Linked DNA regions of Coturnix japonica. The protein of the gene in region 3 purifies or fractionates together with the protein of the main gene of each other region. This does not show direct contact. Links are inferred from orthologs where the notes say so. Each region holds a gene or a part of one and is shown on either strand. Other genes may lie near its edges. The genes, in order: JDP2, NFE2L2 and JUN.

Region 1 (3,745 bases), on a different chromosome or scaffold from region 3:
ACACCCAGGGGCAGCCTGGTACACAGTCTCCTGTCATGCTGCAGCCCCTCCAGCTGCATCACACCACCGGGTCCCACACCTGTCTGATGCAGTGACTTATTCCCATTATGAGTGGAGAAAGCAGTTGTCCTCCTCCTTTCCCAGCATTTCACTCCATCCCTTCTCAGGGTAGTAAAAAGCTATGGATCAGCAGGATGCTATACCCCCACCACTGCAATGCAGTGATTGACTTGGAGCAACCTGTAGCAGCAGGGGGTTGCACAGCACCTAGCGCAGCACGGCTCCTTGCAGCTATTGCAATTAATTACCTGTCTTTGGAGCAGACATTTGTGGCCAACATTCACAGCACCACACTGCACACTGGTGGGCAGTACAGAGCAGGAAGGTGAAAGCTGTCCTATTCCTGCTCAGAGCAGCTGAAATGGAATTAGGGATGAGGGAACACGCTGACCTGAGCCAGGCTGCAGCTCAGACAGAGGTGAACAGCAGATGTGTTGACATCCCCCAAGGCATTCCACAGCCGCATATGGGCAGGATTGGAATCTTTGCAAAGAGACGACTTTCCTCAGGCACAGAACTCCAACCTCAGGGGACAAGGAGGGCTACAAGCCCCAAAAAGCCACGTTCAGAATGCTGACATGGCCAGCTGTATGCTGGTCACTCAGCTACAGCTCGATGCAGTAGCCCTGCTCAGCAGGAGGATCACACAGATCTGCAGCTCCCACTGCACAGCAAACAGCCTGCAGTGCTGGGCTGGTTTCTGGGCAGTCAGTGCAACACAGCAATCCATGCAAGCAGCCCAGACAGACAGCACCAGGCCTGCTGTGCCTGTCCCATACTGGGCTCGCACTGCGGGACACTTGCAGGATGCTACAAACCACAGTTTTCCCTGCCCTGCTGCACAGCCTCCTTAGGGAGAAGAGCTTCTAAGAGCCTCACACACTCGCAGCGCTGCATGCTGCCAAGTACCTGGCCCAGGCCACGCAGCTGAAGCAGCAAATGTCACCATAGTGAAAAAGCACATAGCAGATGCTCAGCACCGCTCAGAACAGCAAAACAGGGCACAGTGCAGCAATGGAGGGCACAGGGAGCAGAGGGAAGATCTGCTCCTCCACAGACAGCAGCACAGCGCAGAGACTGCTGCATCCTGTAGGGAAGGTCACGCTCAGCTGTACAGAGGAGGGAGAAGCATCCACGGTGAGGAGCAGAACATCAACCTGCAGTTAGCGCCCGGCCGACCTCATTACATCCCAGGGACCCAAGGAGCTGACAGCCAGCCACTGGCTGACACAGGGATGCCTTGGACAGCAGCTCCCACCCACACACTCACCCCCACAGAGACAGCTCTCCTCATTTTTGAATCACCAGGAGTCACGCTGAGGATGTGAACTCCAACATACAGCATTCCCAGGTGTCCCCCAAAAGCACTGACCAGCCAGATCCCACTGCAGCTCCGGCAATGGCTTCCACATAGAGTTCTTCACACAAGTCGCCTCAAAACTAGCTAAAAAAAAATCTGTCTGAGCTGCTGGATTTTTGTTTCTGCTGAGCTCCGAGTCCAAACACACACACACACACACACGGTTTGGCAGTGGTTGTGTTCCAGGGCTGGTAACACAAGCCATGAAGCTGGCTGCCAAGACAAGCAACAGAACGAGCCAGGCCCCATTTCATTGGCCACCATACGCTGCATATGGCCCTGGAAGCAGCCAGCACTGTGTTCTCACCCTCCTTGAAGGCATAGGAGACCCTGTGTTTTCAAATACACCTCCACAGGGCCTTCATTAAAGGAAAATGGAAACATAATGGGGCTCTTGCTCTCTTGGTATTTCTCCTTTTCCCCGATTTGCTCTCAAACCTATTTCCGCAGTATGGAAAAAGAGAAATGCCTCCCGGAGCGAAAGAAAGCGACTTCCATTCAACTCCACGCCTGAGCACTACAGCAGACGGCACGGAGCGCAGGGGCTCGCAGGGCCCCACTCCTTCCCCGGGCCCGAGCCGGGCGCGCTGTCCGCACGGCACCGGGGCAGCGCGGAGCCCCACCTGCGGCAGGTGGAGCGCAGCGCGGTGCGGCACCCACCGGCCCCGGGTGCTGCTGCTCGCCGCCCCCGCGGGAGCTCTGCCCCTTCCCGAAGCCAGTCCCCACGCACGACCCGGACGGGCCGACGTGGGGGGTGGACGGCGGCTCCGCTCCGACCCGCACCCGGGGGGAGGGTGGATCCCCGCAGCGCCGCCGGCCCTGCCGTGCCGTGCCGTGCCTCCACCCCGCCCGCGGGCCGCCCCCGGGCTCCGCCGCCCCCCGCCGCCACCCCGGCCCGCCCGGCGACCCCCCGCCCGCGCCGCGCCCGCACCCACCGTGCACGGGGAGCGGGCCGCCGGGGTGCCCGCGGGGCTCGGCCGCAGGGGACGGGCGCGGGCTGCAGGCTCAGCCCCGCCGCCGCCCGGCGCTGCCCCGACCCCCGGGCCCCGCCCGCCGCCGGTGTCGGTCCCGGTGCCGGCCGCCGCAGCCGGGGCGCCTCGTCCCGCCGCCGCCCCCCGCCGCCCCGGTGCGCGCCTCCCGCAGGCTGTGGCGGGCGGCGGGGTGGGTTGCATCAGCCCCGGTTATATAGCGGCCCCGGGCTGCGGGGAGGGGTCGGGAATGCGGAACCGGCTGGGCTGCCAGCGCCACACGTCAGGGAGGGCGGGCGGGGGAGCGGGGCCGCGGGGCGGGGAGCGGCGCGCAGGGGTGGGACCAGCCGGCGGTACCGGCACCCCCGGCCCCACCGCCCCCTGCCCCGCGCTGTGCCCCGGCCCGGTGTGCGCCGCTGTGCGCTGAGCCGGCCGCCCCGAGCCTCGGCCGGGATGGAGGCGAGCCGGGGAGAAGCAGAAGGGCCCGCGGCTCACGGCACCGCTGCTTCGGGCCCCCGGCACCGGCACATCCCGGGGGCCGCTGGCGCTGCAGGCGGATGTCAGGTGGGGACGGGGGAGCAGCCGTGGGACCGGGGCCTTCCCGATAACTCATTTGCATGGATGCCAATCGCTTCCTTCCTCTTTCTCTCACCGCCGGCCCTCCCTCACCTGCACCTGCCAGGCTGCTGGGGAAGCACGGCTCACGCAGAGCCCTGCAGACCCGCTGCAGGAACTGAATGCACCCGTATCGATGCTCTCCCAGAGCAGCTCCGTCTTCCTGCTCCGGGCTCATCGATCATCGCTCCCATTCAGTTCCCACAGAGCTCCTTTCTGGGCACGATCACGCTGCCCATCACTGACAGTCCCCCCTCCATCAGCACATCCCAGTCCCTCCATCTGTGCCCCGGGAACAGCAAACCGGGCGGTGCAGTTGGGTCTGAGCAGGGGACAGAACTGCACAGCGCAGGACAGGTCCAGCTCTCATCTCACACGGGAATTCTCCTCGCTCTCACTGCCGCTTATGGGTTTTGCCTCATGTAAACACAAAACATGTTTGCTTTCCAGATATAGTTTCATTTGGGCATAGGAATTCATTGAGAATTTGCGGTTTCAGTGGGTAAAAGTGAACAGAAGAGCCCCAGACGAGCAGAGTGCTTGCTGAGGGATAGGGAGCGCTGGGCAAGCACAGCCGCCCGACTGGGGCTGCTGAGCTCCACCACTGCCACAGAGATAAATGAAGCACATGGGAACAGCAGCACCTGCAAGGGAGCCACGGGAGCTGGGGAAAGGGTCCATGGCACAAAGTGCAAAAAGCTGTCAGTACCCCCTGCCTGCAGGATGGCCTCCTCCTCCTCCT
Region 2 (3,745 bases), on a different chromosome or scaffold from region 3:
TTTGACCAGATGTAGGCAACACCCAGCAAACACTACATGAAATATACCTGGATGAATAGCCACACTAAAGCACAAGCCAGGGAATATAAGAGTGAAGAGAATCATAGAATGCCTTAGGTTGGAAAATTCCTGCCAAATCACCCAGTTCAAACCCCTGGCCATGGGCTGAGTTGCCAACTACCAGATCAGGGCCCAGAGCCCCATCCAACCTGGCCTTGAACACCTCCAGGGATGGGGCACCAGCACCTCACGGCCCTCTCAGTAAATAATTTCCTCCAAACACCTGACTGAAATCTCTCCTTTTTTAATTTAAAGGCATTCCTATTTTTCTTATCGCTATCAGATAACGTTAAACGTTAGTCCCTCTCATGCCTAAGGGCTCGCTTTAAGTGCAAGAAAGCCACTAGCAATCGAGTTTTCTTCTAAGGCAGCGCCGTGCCAGCAGAACATCTGACCGAGGAGCATTGCCATCCCATAGGACGGGCACTGCCATGACATCTCCCAAAGCATCACGTGAGATTCGGGTCTGTAAGTCAGCCGGCTGAGACACGCACGCCAACTATTTCGACACCCGTAGTATTAACGGGGGTTACAGTGCAAGAAACCACAGGTACCAGGGAATTACAGTACCCTGGGATGAGAGCCTGATGTAATAGGAAAGCACGTGTGGAGGACGCAACCAGAAAGAGCCTGGAAAGGTGCCTTTAGTGTCAATGTAGCAGACTGCCAGTGGCTCGTAGCCGTGTTTCGGGACCGGACTAATAACGTAGAACACGAAAAGAAGGTGAAACCACACACCTGGGGAACGTACCGAGGCACGGACAGAACAGCCGGCCGAGAGCACTGCTGACAGAACAGCCGGCCGAGAGCACTGCTGACAGAACAGCCGGCCGTGAGCAGTGCTGACAGAACAACCGGCCGTGAACAGTGCTGACAGAACAGCCGGCCGAGAGCAGTGCTGACAGAACAACCGGCCGCTCGCGGTGCCCGGCGCCGTGGGAGGGTCGCGTTCCCGGCACCGCCGCCACTGCCGGGAAAGGAGCCGCCTCCGCGGGCACCGCTGAGTGGCTGCGCCGAGTCGGGGCGGAGCGCGGCGGTCGCCGCTGGCTCGGCCCGGGCCGGGCCGGGCCGTCCCCGTCCCCAAACAGCGGCGGAACGAGAGCGCGGGCGGTGCCGGCCGAGCCGCCACAGCTCCACAGCTCCACGCCGCCGTTCCCGAGTCCGCGCCGCCGCCCCGCGCCATGGAGATCGAGCTGCCGCCCGCCGCACAGGTGAGGGCGCCGCGGGCACCGGGCGGGAACCGGGGCTGCGCGCCCCCGGCTCCCCCTCCCTCTTGTCCCGGCCGTTGGGGCGGGGCGGGCCGGGCGGTCACGAGGCCGGCGGGGCACGTGGTGCCGCCCCGCCCCGGGGGCAGCGCTGAGTCACGGCGGGGGCCGGGCCCCGCCCCCTCGGTACTTTCCCCGTCTCCCGGGCGGGGGGTGCTTCCCTGCCCGCTGCGCAGTTCGGGGCCAGGTCAGTCCGTGGCGAGGGGGGAGCTCGGCCCGGCCCGGCCCCGCCCCGAATACTTGTCCGGTTCCTTCTTGAGGGCCTCCCGCTGTCACGCGGCCTCAGTGGGGGCAGTTGCACAACCGCGTGTTGCCCGTGTCGGGTCGTGGGGTGCGGGGCGAGAAGGGCGCGGGGAGGGTGTGATTCTGTGAGGGGCCGTGGGGGCCGCGATGGAAGGGACCCCGCATCACTTCAGCGTCCTCCTCGGTGTGGGCCGGGGCGACTCTTGTGTCTCCTCCTGTGGGGCCACCTGTCCGCGTTGTGCTGCTCGAGCCCCACAGCCGCGGGTTGTGTCAGATCTGTACTGTAAAGGCGCTGTGTCTTTAGGTAGCTAATGGATTATCTTTTATTGGTTAAATGGAATGCTGGATGGGATTCATTTGGGATGTTGTCTATTACTAATGACACAGGTATCAAAACTGCTGAGGAAAAACGCTCTGGAACGTGAGTCAAAGTGTTTCAAGTCAAGTTCACAAAAGCATTATGTACCCATAATTGTTTACTGCTTCAGTAAGCTGAAAGGTGCTGAAATGGCTGGGCCTGGTGCTTCTAGCCTTGTCAGACAACATGACAAACTCATCAGCTCTCACTAAGCACTGAGCCTTGTGAGAAGGTGAGCAAGATTACTTTCTCATGTAGTGTTTGCACTGAACACTAAAAGTGAAGGCCAGTGTAACCATGTACTTGAGTATCTGCTCAGTGCGTGGGTTTTTCTACCTAGAAAAGAGTTTCTAGTTACATTAGAGGTATCTCTTTAGTCTGTAGGGCTTTACACAGGTATCACATGTCTGTTTTTGTGACGTACTACATAAGGTTGTCTAGTGAATGTCTGTTCCATAATGGGCTGTTCTTTCCATACGACACCGATCATGCAGGAAGTGACAAATGAGTGCACCGCTCAGGCCTGACAACAGGCCTTTGATGTGTTTTTTAGCTCAATAACTGTTAAGCATAAGTGTCTGTAGATAGATTAAGATATCTGTATGGATACCTATTTGTCCATCTATATATGTGGATACGTTTCGGTATCAGAAAACATCTATGTTTTTTGTTGGTCTCTCAGAAGGAACTGAAGGCTGAAGGAGCTGGGTGGTTCAGTGTGGAGAAGGGGAGGCTGAGGGGAGGTCTCACTGCTCCGTACAGCCGCCTGAAAGGTGGTTGCAGTGATAAAGGTGCTGGTCTTCTCTATCAGGTGACAAGAGATAGGATGTGAGGAAACTGCCTCAAGTGGCACTGAAGGAGGCTTAGATTGAATATCAAGAGCATGGAAGGGGTGGTTAGGCATTGGAACAAGCTGCTTGGGGAGGCAGTAGAGTTGCCATTGCTGGAGTTATTTAACAGACCTGTGGATGTGGTTTGGCAATGGACTTTGTGATGTTAGGTGAATGGTTGGACTTGGTCTTAGAGCAATCTTAATGATTCCATGACTCCTAAAATTACAGAGAAGAGTGGTGGAAGTAATAAGAATACTACAAGCACTGTCTTAAGTAGAAATGCATTTTTTAGACCCTTTTAATTCTGATGTGCCTACCCTGCTTATCATGCTGCACTGAAAAATCTTTCCTCAGAACTTCAGAATATCTCTCAGTTAAACCAGTGGTAGATACAATGCAGTGCAGTACCTGTGGCTGAAAGAAATGTAGACTAATAAAAGATGACCATGAGAATCCTTTCAATGCAACAGCTAATTGGATATTTTATTATTGTAGTACATATCTATCGTATGGACGCTGTTCTGTATTTTGTATTTAAAATGTGCTGGGAATTTACATTGCATGAGAAGTTGTTTGAAATACAAGGAGTTGGTTGCATTTGAAAATGGGACTTGAAGAAGCTTGCGGTTAGAACTCAAAGTAGGAGAGCACTTTGGCTTTGGAAGTTGGGGTTTTTGTTTTTGGTTGTTTTTTTGTTTGTTTGGTTTTTTTTTTTTTTTTGGAAAAATATGTGGAAGAGACCAAACTGGGACAAAATAGAACATTCAGTATAAGCAGAGAGCAGCTGGATCATCTCGTGCTTTAAAGAACTTGAGACATTTTTATAGGAGTGTGTGGGTGGTTGGGAAGCTTTGTGTATGTTTCCCACCAGAGTTCATGAGCTAGAATAAAATTTGGCTCTCTGTCCATTACTTTTTTCTTTCTTAAACCGAAAAAAGCAAAGAGAGTATAGCACTTATCCTAAATGACAATACAGAAGGTTATGT
Region 3 (3,745 bases):
CCCGTCTCCTCCTCACACGTTCTCCAGGACATGCCTGCACTTACAGAGCGAGTTTCACATAATCCCTGCCCTTTAGAGTCCAGCATTAAGGGCATTTTCCTAACTCACATACTAGCAATAATAATAATAATAATAATAATGAAAAAGGTGTGAGGAGGAAATGCATTTTAAGTATTTTATTTTTTTTTAAATATAATAGAACCTTCTAGATTTTTTCCAGAAACAGAAACATTAAAAAAATTATACTTTATTACAAATGGTAAACTCAGAGTGCTAAAAAAAAGCCTCTTATTTACAAACAATACTGGGCAGTACCCAAATAAACAACATAAAAATAACTTACAAAGTCATGAAGTAGTTTATTGACATTAATCAACTTTCATAAAATAAAATAAAAAAGGATATGTACATACACCATTTACTTGAAGGCAGGAACAACAGTTCTTGGTTGTTTATCAGCCTCCCACAAACCTCCCTCCCGCTTTTTGTTTGTTTGTTTGTTTCTTAAGGAATACTACATGAAGCAATCTACAGTTTCTATTGCAGTTTAACCTTTAATACTGAATGATCATCGAATGTTAGGTCCATGCAGGTCTTGGTCAATGTTAAACGAAGATCTGTCGCCTCATGGGAGCAGGATCAGCACCTCGGAGCGGTGCCGGCTGCTTCACCAACTCGAGCTGAAGGCTGCCCAGTCTTTGCACACATGTGCTTTGCAGCACGCAGGCAGGACTCACAGCCTCCCAGCTTCTACCGTGAGCTTTACGCGTCCGCCGCTTTTGGTTTGTCGTTTAGTTATACCACAACATCACAGTTCCTATTGAAGTCAGTCTCTTCAAAACGTTTGCAACTGTTGTGTTAGCATTAGCTGGCACCCGCTGTTGACATGGTTCATGACCTTCTGCTTAAGCTGTGCAACCTGTTCTCTGAGCATGTTGGCAGTGGATGCCAGCTCTGAGTTCTGGGCTTTCAAAGTTTTCACTTTTTCTTCCAACCTGGCAATCCTTTCCAACTTCCTTTTCCGGCATTTGGACGCCGCGATTCTGTTTCTCATGCGTTTTCTCTCGGCTTTGATTCTCTCCTGCGACTCCATGTCAATAGGGGACAGGGGAGGGGTTTCCCCCGGCATTTCAGGTACAGTCTGAGGCTCTTCTTTCAGAGCCTGAAGCCTGGGATGCTGCACTGGCATCTGGGGGTTTATGTGATGCTGCGGCGCGTAGCCCATGCCGTTGGCATTGTAGTTGGGTGCGGAATTGAGCGCGTTGGGGTTGAAGTTGCTGAGGTTGGCGTACACCGGGGGCTCGCTGTGCAAACTCGTGTTGAAGCTGCCGCCGCCGGCCATGGAGGACACAGGTGCCATGCCACCGCTAACAGGTTGCGCGGCCGAGGTGACGCTGGGCAGCGTGTTCTGGTTGTGCAGTTCCGCCAGCGCTCTCACGAAGCCTTCGGCAAACCCCTCTTGTTCGTCGGTAACGTTCTTGGGGCACAGGAACTGCGTCGGGGTCGGCGTGGTGGTGATTAACCCGTTGCTGGACTGGATGATGAGCCGCTCCAGCTCCGGGGAGGCCAATTTCAGCAGCCCCACGTCGGGGGAGGTGAGGATGTCGGCGTTCTTGTTCCGCAGGTGCGGCTTCAGGCTGCTGGCCGGGTCGGACAGGTTCAGCGTCATGCTCTGCTTCAGCACCTTGGCGTTATTATATCCATAACCGCCGCTCTCCGGCGGCGCGAAGCTGGCGTTCAGTGCATCCTCGTAGAAAGTAGGCTCCATCTTTGCACTCATAGAACAGAGCCCAAAAAGTGGCGCCGGGAGCCGCCCCACACCGCTCCCGGCCAAGCGGCTTGGGGGGAAAGAGCAAGCCGGAGCCTTCCTTACTTCTCGCCGGGACAACGCCGCTCCTCCCGGCGCGGGCCGGGCCCGCCGGGCCTACGCTGTGCGCTGTGCGCTGTACGCTGTACTCTGTACTCTGTGCGCTGTGCTGCTCCCCGGGCCGCCTCTCCGCGCTGTGCCGGGCCGGGCCGCTCCTGCCGCCGTTGCCGCTTGTACCTCCCGGCTCCGCGCTCCGCTCGGCCGTGCCCGCTGTGGCGGCTGATTCTCGCTGCCGCCCGCCCCGCTCTGAGCCCGCTCGCTCCGTGCAGCCCTTCACTTATCAGCGACCGGGAGCCCGCTAAAAATAGCCCATGATGTCACCCCGCGCGCTCCCCATTGGCTGCCGCCGCCCGTCCCGGGGGAGGCGTGGCGCTGGCCCGGCGCGGTGCATGGCAGCCGGTCGCCATGGACACCCCGCCCCTAGAAGCTTCTCAGCGCCGGCGCGGGGCCTTGTGGGATGAGGTAATGCTGCCGGCGGCGCGGGGCATTGTGGGCTGACGTCTTGTTTTTGAATATCTGGTTACCGCGGCCCGAGCTCCGAGCGGGGTTGGGCGGCTCGACGGCCTCGTACCAACCAACCGCTGCCCTACCGGGTACCGGGGCACCGCGATGCCGCCCCGAGCCGCCCCGCGCCCTCAGCCCGTGCGTTGTGCTGCGCTCGGGGCCGAGATGCTGCGTGCGGCGGGGCCGGGCCGCGCTCCTCCGTTCCACGTCGCGTTGAGTCCCGCCGCATCGCCGCCTCCTCCCCCCCCCCGGTCCCGTTGTTGGTACGGCCCTGAAGGTGGCGCTCCGGGGGAGCCCTCACGTGATTTCCCCGCCTCGCTGCCCCCGCCGCTTCCAGGCAGGGCCGGGGCGGGCGCGCACAGCGCCGGGGCCGCCCCCGCCCCGCACGGGGGCACAGCGCAGGGCGGGCGGCGCTGGGGTGGGGGCGGCTCGGCCTCGTCTCCTCCCGTCCCGGGGAGCCCCGGCGGGCGGGGACGGGCGGCCCGGCTGCCCTCAGCCCCGCCTGCCTTCAGCCGCTGCGGTGAGCGCTGTGTCTGTTCCCAGGGCCGGGAGCTCCCCAAAGTATGAGAGGGGAAAAAGCTGCCGGGAAGGAGCCTGGCTCTGGATGGGTTTTCCTAAAGTTGTCCTCCCGGTTGTAGAGCTGTGCTGGTATTAGTGTGTGAGCGCAGCTTGGCCAAGGGGAACGGCTGGAGATGGAGGGATCCGGTCGGGGAGGGAGGTTTGTGCTGCTCCACAGCTACCGGGGACTCGCAGCTCGGCTGATGGACGGGACGGGAACCCGGGGCAACAAGTGCTGCCGCTGCTGCTTCGCTGCTGGGCTCCATCGCTTTGTGTGACATACGAAGCTGACAAACTTAAGTCTCGGTTTGAAAATGCACTTTAAAACTCTTAAGTGCTATTTTTTTTCTTCTAGATGTAATAACATAATTAGCACTTAAAGTACGGGAGGGAGCAATGTAATAAACAGAATCAAAAAGAGCTGTGAATTAAAAGTGAATGTCTGGATGCACTGACTGATAGAAGTTACTGCTCCTTTTATAGAGTCATCTCCCGGTCCTCCCTGCTGTGCACACCTGGCTGCACTCAGTGTATCCACTTCACCCATGTGCTGGAATCACACAGCCAATACCTGTGCATGTTTGTGCTAACAGTCAAGTGAATTAGTTTGCCCACAAATGTGGGCCTTAGTGTTTGCTGCAGGTGTGTGCACAGCCTTCAGGTAGGCAATGAGCACCTGTGTGCAGGTAATTCCAGCTGCCTCTGTAGCTCCAGCAGCAGTTACTGCATGTGTATAGGAAAGCCTCTGAAAGTCGTCTGTGTTAGAAGCAGCTTCCTAGCTCCATCCTAAGCTTTACACACAAGATAAATAGAGGC

The links.
Region 1: the proteins of JUN (region 3) and JDP2 purify together in Homo sapiens (co-immunoprecipitation; 3 studies listed by BioGRID and IntAct, with this or other methods). This does not show direct contact. The link is inferred for Coturnix japonica from reciprocal best matches to the Homo sapiens genes JUN and JDP2.
Region 2: the proteins of JUN (region 3) and NFE2L2 purify together in Homo sapiens (affinity purification with western blotting; 4 studies listed by BioGRID and IntAct, with this or other methods). This does not show direct contact. The link is inferred for Coturnix japonica from reciprocal best matches to the Homo sapiens genes JUN and NFE2L2.

What each region holds. Positions count from the first base shown.
Region 1 is NC_029520.1:34,697,212-34,700,956, reverse strand, and holds the start of JDP2 (jun dimerization protein 2), read right to left. Parts: upstream 2,458-3,745; 5' UTR 2,356-2,457; intron 1-2,355. UniProt on the Homo sapiens protein: Component of the AP-1 transcription factor that represses transactivation mediated by the Jun family of proteins.
Region 2 is NC_029522.1:14,053,140-14,056,884, forward strand, and holds the start of NFE2L2 (nuclear factor erythroid 2-related factor 2), read left to right. Parts: upstream 1-1,096; 5' UTR 1,097-1,241; coding exon 1,242-1,271; intron 1,272-1,394; exon of another isoform or gene 1,395-1,512; intron 1,513-3,745.
Region 3 is NC_029523.1:23,599,477-23,603,221, forward strand, and holds JUN (transcription factor AP-1), read right to left. Parts: upstream 2,305-3,745; 5' UTR 1,781-2,304; coding exon 836-1,780; 3' UTR 211-835; downstream 1-210. UniProt on the Homo sapiens protein: Transcription factor that recognizes and binds to the AP-1 consensus motif 5'-TGA[GC]TCA-3'.